Nothobranchius furzeri: one gene and its partner. The protein of the gene in region 1 purifies or fractionates together with the protein of each later gene. This does not show direct contact. Links are inferred from orthologs where the notes say so. Each region holds a gene or a part of one and is shown on either strand. Other genes may lie near its edges. The genes, in order: pdgfrb and rasa1a.

Region 1 (4,383 bases):
TGACACAATTTTAGCTTTAGCCTGCAGTGTGGGGACAATTTGCTGGTCCACACAGTGCTAAGCATCCTAAAACTTGGTTTTGGAGGTATGGAGTGAATAAAGATTTAGTTTAGGTTAGGGTTAGGAATACAACGCCATTGGTTAAGGCTAGGATATGGGTTAGGTCTTCCTGTTCCTCCTGCAGGTGAGGGGTGTTGGATGTAACGGGCTTGGTGCTGCTGGCACACGGGGTCCAGCCCTGGACCTGGCACCTCCTACGGCACTCTGTCTCACACTTCATCTGATGGCAGCAGGCCTTTGGGTCGGCCTGCGTTCTAGCACCCAGCCGCCGGCCTTTTGCCCATGGCCTGACCCAGACACATGGGCTGTCCACATCCACCCATGGACCCACCACCTGCAGGAGGAACATGAAAGGCCCAGTGCAATGTGGAGCCTTTGGCGGTCCAATCACTAGAATCAAATGAGTGAAAATAATTCCGTAACCTCACATTTTCTACATTTAAGGAATTAGAAAAGAACAAAGAACAGCACGGGTAAATGTGTGAGACATTAGCCGTGGGGTTTAATAAGTGTAGGCTGAATTACAAAGCAGCTTAATCTCATCAAAATAATAAAATTATAACTCAATCTTATTCTATTGTCAAACTGCTTCAACGTGTTGTGAAAGCATCGTGGATGTTCTGCACTGTGGGCCTGAGGAGAACAGAGCTGGTCTAAAAGTATAATGAGCACAACACAGAACACATTTAAATAACGCTCAGTAAAAACATTCTCTTGGTTCTTTTCTAAACCTTCTCTCTGAGTAAAAAATGAAATGTTTATCTGTCTTTTCAAAGTCCAACACTAAAGATACATTTATGCCTAAATAGGAGAAAAAGGGACGCTAAAACAGACATTTCCTCAAAGATTTGTGCAGCAGGACTGGCTGCAACTTCCTGCCTAAAGATGAGATGCAGCTGCCTGACAGCTTTACTCCAGTGTGTGTGTGTGTGTGTGTGTGTGTGTGTGTGTGTGTGTGTGTGTGTGTGTGTGTGTGTGCAGTATGGCATGCTTTACTCCTGCACTTCTGAGTGCTCTTCATTACAGCTAATCGACTCATGAATAGTGTAATCAACCCTAAAGACCAACGACTAAAGGACATTTATTATCTACTCAGCTGAAAAACATGAACGATGAACGAGTCACATGATAACTGACCAGCAGGATATGAGTCAGAGAATAAAACACTTTTCAACCTGTGCATCGATGATCTGCTGTAAACTGATGACTAAAGTTGGTGTTTAACCAGAAAGCGAGCAGCATGACACCAGTTGTGATCTTGTTGCTCAGCAGCTGCACGTTCGGCTCGTGGGACAGAGAATAAATCACAGGAGGACAGATTGGGATCAGCGTGTTTCACAACTCAAACTGCGACATGTCGGCTCTGTGGAGCACGTGCTGGCGTGTTCTGTATTGGGTCTTAATGCGAAGCACATTTTCTCACTGTGGCTGGCATGCAAGCGAGCCCAAAAAGCCAGGAAACAGCTGATGAGTAAGGATTAGGTCCGGGCCAGGGGGAACGGAGCCGACCGGGCTGCTCAACATCAGGGCCGGGCCGAGGAGCATACCAGCAGCCTGACGCACGGCCAGGAAACCCCCCACAGCCAAGGAAAGATATATAACCCTGTTACGTTAAGAAAAACCTTGTTTAAAAATGTGTCAGAGCGGAGCAGTGCTTTTAAACGTGACGCTAAGCTGATGGTAGAAGGATGATATGAATGCAGTTTTCCAGACGTTCATCTGCTGAAACTGCAACAGCATCTGGATGATGGATGCCCAATAAAACCAGACCAACAGTCCAGATACCGCAGCTGCTCATTACTCCGCCTTTCAGGTGCAAACCATGTGTCGGATTAGATGGAAAAGACATTCACCAAACACATATCTTAGCCATGAAACGGCTCACATGACGCCAGCGTAACTCAGTCCAGGCTGTAAAATCTTGTTTCTGTCATGAAGGGAAGAACGATGATTCAACACAATGTTTACTGACCCAGTCACCGGTTCCCAGAAGATCTAAAGAAGAGCTGGGCTCGTTTTAGCCTTATTATCACTATAAAGGAATCTATTTGTGGCTAAAGAGGATGCAGGTGACGGCTCCGGGCTGATGCTCCTCTGGAGAAGATTGATCCTGACAGGCCCTTTCACAGGGAAGATCTTTGGTTCAAGTAGGGTGACTGAAGAGCGTCGGCATAAACGAGCTCTTTAGCAGCAAAGCGCAAAGTGGCATGCATACAAACAAGCTATGTGTGTGTGTGTTTGTCTGAGACAACCTGTCAAACATCTCTGAGCGAGAAGACAAACACGGTTGAAGCTGTAGGGTGTGAAGTGGTGTCAGGGATGTGAGCCGCTGCTGTGTTGATGTTTGAACAGGTTGTTCGCTGTTTGTGTGTACACATTCAAACATGCGGGTACCAAAGAACCCAGCGGACACACACACACACACACACTCGTGGGGACATGGAGAGTAAAAAAACCTGTCTGATTTGTTTAAATTTAAATAAAACTCACGAAATTCAGGGTCCAGTTTTAACTAAACCCAGAACGGTTGTGGGTTTGGCCTCAGCGTGCAAACTGGATCAACTTTTCCAACATTGTGAAACAAATTCTCACCTCTGGCAGCAGCGACAAAACAGCCGTGACCATCAGAAACAAGTTCAAGATTAACACCTCCATACCTTCACAACGATCCTGCAGGCACAGACGAGTCTTCCCTCTCCAAGAAGGTAAAGAAGATAAAAATCTGAGTGGAGGTCTCCAGCTGCAGCCTCCACAGGCTCTGCTGCATCATATGTACCACTCTCTCAGATGTTCAGTCTGAGGTTTATCTGTGCTGGTCCCAGGAGTCCGTTGGGAGGAGGTACCGCTCTGAGCCCGGCCGTTTGTTTAGTCAAATCACAGCGCTGTGGGGGTCTCTCTCTCTCTCTCTCCCTCAGCTCTCTGTCTCTCTCACACTCACAAAACAAGCCTACCGGCACTCAGAAAGAGTGGTGTAAGTTTAAAAGAGGCATGCGGACACACACTCCTTCTCTGGCAGGCTCACACAGAGCAAAGAGTCAGCGGTTTGACCTAGCTGAATCTGAGAGAGAGAGAGAGGGGAGGGATGGAAGAAGAGAGGAGGAGAAGGGGGTGTTAGAGAACAGAGGAGCAAAAAGCAACACAAGCAGGTCTCATGAAAATGAGTGAAGAGGCAGACGATCAGAACTTCAAAAACACGGATCAGGTTCTGCGTGTTGCTCTTGTAGGCTGCAGCTCAGAGGTCCCGGGCCGCAGCCATTTGTTTATGAATGGAGAGGAGAGCCGCTGGAGGTGAGCTGAGACAGTCTCTACTGGCAACAGCAATCTGGACTGCTTCTATTCCTTCCACAAAAACAACAAACACAATGAAAAGAAAGAGAGTGGGAGGTTCAGGCAGCAAAGAAAAAAAAATAAAATGAAAGGTTTGGCAGAGCTCACGGTGCCCAGGAAACAAACATGGAAGTCTCAGTTTCTCAGGAGAGTAACCCCACAGAGGTGTAAAAGTTACCGTATGAAGCCTCCTTTTCTATCATATTTCCCTTCTTCTTTCATCTCCACCACATGCAACAACTCACCTCCCTCTTCTGTCTCCTTCTCTTGTTCAAAGCTGTGTATGAAGAAAACTTCTCCTGAATATTGGCTCTCTTCCTAATGCCATCGTTTCCCAGGACAGGAGGGGACAAACCCGCTGCTGATCAAGGCCTTTTCTTCCTCTAACAAGCAGGCAGAGCGAGGGGGGAGGAGGGAACAGAGCCTAAATTGGACAGTTACATGTTCTCCTCTAATTGTGAGGATAAATCTGAAAGCCTCGTTAGCAGTAATTAGAGAGCTGGTGCAGTGCTGGTTATTAAATAAGAGGGGAGCAACACCACACAGGATAGGCCCGCCCCATGCCCGTCTAATTTTACCAACGTTATCAACACGTCCTGATTAATCTGGTCTGAATCCACCAGTTAGATGCAGCAGAAGAAATAAACGTTATTATCCGCTGAAACATCCTGCTGTTAGACAAAGAGACACCAAAACAGGATGTGGACACTTAGGAGACTTTTGCATTTGATTAACATGTACATCTTTAGCATGTTGTCACCATGGAGTGTGACGGAGAATCCACAAAGAGGGGTTTCTACTGCTCTATGTTTGGCAGCAGTGCTGAGGAGAGCTCCTAACAAACCGGACTCCCAAATATTCAGCCACAACAATGCAGAGTCTATCTGAGCTGGTTAGGAGTGTTCCTCTCACTGCGGGTCTGATTTGATGCTGTAAACAGAATTCCACCAGAGGAACCAGCTCATGTCTTGCTGTAGGTTTGTTTTTTCTTCTTGG
Region 2 (3,814 bases), on another chromosome or scaffold:
TAGACAGGTAAGTGTGAATATTAAAACATAGTGAAGCAGCTAAAAAACAAAAACTAAGTTAAAAGGTATTGGGAACATTTTGACTAGTGATGGACTTTTGGGGACAGTGTCGTTTTAAATTTCCAGTGTTACAACAGGTCTTGTTCTTCTATTGAAATCTGACATTCAGGACCATTTCCACAGATTGACTCAAACAAACAGCCCAGTCCTAATTTAGTTCCTTGGTTTGGGTGGCATTGAGGATTAATTTGGCTCCTCTGCACTATCCAGGCCTCCCATTGATGATCCCTGCTATAGTAGTGTCATCTGCAAATGTGATGATCTAGTAAGGGCATCGAGGACATCATAAATCTAGAGGGTAAAAAGTAGGAAGCCAAGCTCGTAGATAACTGACACTCTTTAAGTTTCAGAGCTTTCTTTGTCAGCTAAGTCAAAAATGCATGTATCCTGAGGCAGATAGAGATTGATCCAGATTTGTCAGGTGTCGGGAGCAAAACAGCGAAGTTGTAATTATGGCGAATAACATTCATTTTGTGTGCGTTTCCTCTCAGGTGAGCAGTCTGGTGCTGTATGTGGAGGAGGCCCACAAGCTGCCTATGAAGTATTTCACCAACCCCTACTGTAACATCTTCCTGAACAGCATCCAGGTTGCTAAAACACACCCGAGAGAAGGGCAGAATCCTGTCTTCACTGAAGAGTTCATCTTTGAGTGAGTCGGTGCTCGTTCGTCTCCTTTCGTTTCACGATTGTGTTAGCAAAATTCCAACATGCCTTTTTTGTGTTTTCAGTGACCTGTCCAGTGAAATTAACCGATTTGAAATCAGTCTGAGCAACAAATCAAAAAAGAGCAAAGAAAATGATATTTGTAAGTGATCATAAATTAGAGAAAGTAATAACCTTCAACTCTACAGTCCCATTTTGATCTTTTCCTTGTTGTCCTCCTCTTTGTCTCCTCTCAGTGTTTATGCGGTGCCAGCTAAACAGTTTGAATAAGGGTCAGATGAATGATGAGTGGTACTCTTTGAGCTCCCACGTTCCTCTGAAGGGCATCGAGCCCGGCACCTTGCGTATACGCTCCCGATACTCCATGGAGAAGATCATGCCTGAAGAAGAGTACAGTGAATTCAAGGAGGTCAGGCCTGCTGAGAAGTGGTTCTGATTGCAACTTTTTGGCTGCAAGCATGGCTGTTGAATCAAAACGGTCTCTTTATGTCCTCTACAGATGATTTTGCAGAAAGATTTCCATGTAATCTATGCTTTGGCCCACGTGTGTGGTCAGGACAGGACGTTACTGGCGAGCCTCCTCCTGCGCATCTTTAGACATGAGAAGGCTGAAGCATCCTTATTAATGAGACTCAACGACAGAGAAATCAGCATGGAGGGTGAGACGCAGACGGCGTGATTTGATGTGAGGTCATTTTAAAACAGCTTAACTTGAGTTTGACTTGGTAACGCGCATCCTCCCAGATGAAGCCACAACACTGTTCAGAGCTACCACGCTGGCCAGCACGCTCATGGAGCAGTACATGAAGGCCACCGCCACTCCCTTTGTCCATCACGCACTCAAAGACACCATCCTGAAGATTATGGAAAGCAAACAGTCGTGCGAGGTAAATGAATAAACCTGCATGTAGCCTTCATTCAGCACATAGAAATAATTATCTGTCCAAATGTCCTCTTTCATGTGTCCCTCCCTTCCTTTGCAGTTGAACCCTTCCAAACTGGAGAAGAACGAGGACGTGAACATGAACTTGACCCATCTTCTAAACATTTTGTCTGAGCTAGTGGAGAAGATCTTCATGGCTGCTGAAATCTTACCATCGTAAGCTCCTAACACCTAAAGAGCAAGTCACCCTCAAATCAACTTTTATTTTTTCTGATAAACTATATAAATCCGTATCTGATTGTGCTGCAGACTCGTGTAGTCAATAGTTTTGCACTTTAGTGCATTTTAGTACACATTTCAATTTTCTGCCTAAAACTGTCAGTGTTTTGTCGTTGTCCGGTAAAAACTCTGCACTGCATTTGATATAAAATCTGCCATCGCTATTGGCTAAGGCCTAGTCCACACGTAGCCGGGGTTTTTTAAAAACGAATATCCGCCCCTCCAAAAACTTGCATCCACACCACCGCGTTTTAAAAACAAACTCTGTCCACACGTACCCGGATAAATACGTTGTTAAGGACATGCCAGACCTGTAGGCGGCAGTACTTCCCCCGTTCTTAACCTCGTCCTTCGTCTGTGGTCTTCCGCAAGGAGCAGTAATTCCGCTTGTAAAAACAAACAAGCAGAAAGCGCTTGGACAATTGATGGATCGGGTAGTGACAGAGCGCAGGTTTGAGGGCTTCCATGATGTCGGCTAGTGTAAACACAGGTTGCACACGTGATGTCAGCATTTTTTTGTCGCGGAAAGTGACGTTGCGGACCTTAACACTCCGGTTTTGTCTGTCCACACGCAGACACCCAAAACGGAGAAAACGCAGATCTTCACTTTGGCCGGAGTTTTTAAAAAGATCCGTTTTCGTGTGAAAAAACTCCGTTTTCGTGTGGATGACAGGCCAAAACGTAGAAAAATATCTGCGTTTTGGCAGATCCCCGGCTACGTGTGGACAGGGCCTAAGAGGTACCTTAGAATGTTAGCTGGTACCATATGATGTCACAATGTCATTGTGAGCATGTGTGTGTGTTTGTTAGTGGCTCCGCCCCTTTGGTCTGCTAGGCAACAGCATTTGTTGCATTTTTCAAACAGGAAATGGGAGTGGAGTAATACCCTGGTAGGGGGTGACTTGCTCTTTAAAAAATGGTTTTACTGCTTCATCATTAGACCCAAAGAGTTCGGCTGATTTTGTGTGTGTGTGTGTGTGTGTGTGTGTGTGTGTGTGTGTGTGTGTGTGTGTGTGTGTGTGTGTGTGTGTGTGTGTGTGTGTGTGTGTGTGTGTGTCACACAGGACATTGAGGTATATCTACGGGTGCCTGCAGATGTCTGTCAAAAGGAAGTGGCCCAATAACACCACCATGAGGACGAGAGTTGTAAGGTAAACCAGCGTCTCTAAACAATCTGAATACTTTGATGGGTAAAGGCTGTTTTTGCTGACTAACTTCCACCTCATCTGTATTTTTCTAGTGGTTTTGTCTTTTTAAGACTGATCTGCCCTGCCATCCTCAACCCCCGAATGTTCAACATCATAGCTGGTAAGTGTGTGCTAAAAAAACATCCCGAATATGTTTTTACTGCAATATGGAAATCAGTTTTTATGGACTCTTGCTCCTCCCCTCCAGACCCTCCATCTTCAACAGCAGGTAGGACCCTCACACTGGTGGCCAAGTCTGTCCAGAACCTGGCCAACCTGGTTGAGTTTGGTGCTAAGGTATGAGCTCATCCCATTTAAACTTTCACAAAATGCAAAAGTATTTAGCTAATTACTGATTTATTTTTATTGACAGGAGCCCTACATGGAGGGTGTGAACCCTTTCATAAAAAATAACAAACATCGGATGATCATGTTCTTGGATGAGTTAGGGGTGAGTTTCATTTCTTACTTTTTGGATCAAACCTTTAAGCTGAATATCTGATTTGTTTAAAACTTTAATGGTTGGTATAGTATCTTTGAGAGACTGAGGCCCTCTCTTCACAAGCAGACAATAAAAAACTGTCACGTTTGTAGAATGTCCCAGAGCTGCCGGACACCATAGAGAGCTTTAGGGCCGACCTGCCGCGGGACCTGGCCGCGCTGCACGAGATCTGTGTCGCACACTCAGCTGAACTTCGCATCCTGAGCAATGAGAGGGGCGCACAGCAGGTCAGAGACTGAC

Evidence for each region.
Region 2: the proteins of pdgfrb (region 1) and rasa1a purify together in Homo sapiens (co-immunoprecipitation; 5 studies listed by BioGRID and IntAct, with this or other methods). This does not show direct contact. The link is inferred for Nothobranchius furzeri from reciprocal best matches to the Homo sapiens genes PDGFRB and RASA1.

Annotation. Positions count from the first base shown.
Region 1 is NC_091741.1:96,117,339-96,121,721, forward strand, and holds the start of pdgfrb (platelet-derived growth factor receptor beta), read right to left. Parts: upstream 2,913-4,383; 5' UTR 2,718-2,912; intron 1-2,717. UniProt on the Homo sapiens protein: Tyrosine-protein kinase that acts as a cell-surface receptor for homodimeric PDGFB and PDGFD and for heterodimers formed by PDGFA and PDGFB, and plays an essential role in the regulation of embryonic development, cell proliferation, survival, differentiation, chemotaxis and migration.
Region 2 is NC_091757.1:43,329,941-43,333,754, reverse strand, and holds part of rasa1a (ras GTPase-activating protein 1), read left to right. Parts: coding exon 1-7; intron 8-551; coding exon 552-709; intron 710-788; coding exon 789-865; intron 866-959; coding exon 960-1,132; intron 1,133-1,222; coding exon 1,223-1,382; intron 1,383-1,467; coding exon 1,468-1,610; intron 1,611-1,706; coding exon 1,707-1,822; intron 1,823-2,949; coding exon 2,950-3,036; intron 3,037-3,125; coding exon 3,126-3,193; intron 3,194-3,280; coding exon 3,281-3,369; intron 3,370-3,445; coding exon 3,446-3,523; intron 3,524-3,666; coding exon 3,667-3,801; intron 3,802-3,814. UniProt on the Homo sapiens protein: Inhibitory regulator of the Ras-cyclic AMP pathway. Stimulates the GTPase of normal but not oncogenic Ras p21; this stimulation may be further increased in the presence of NCK1.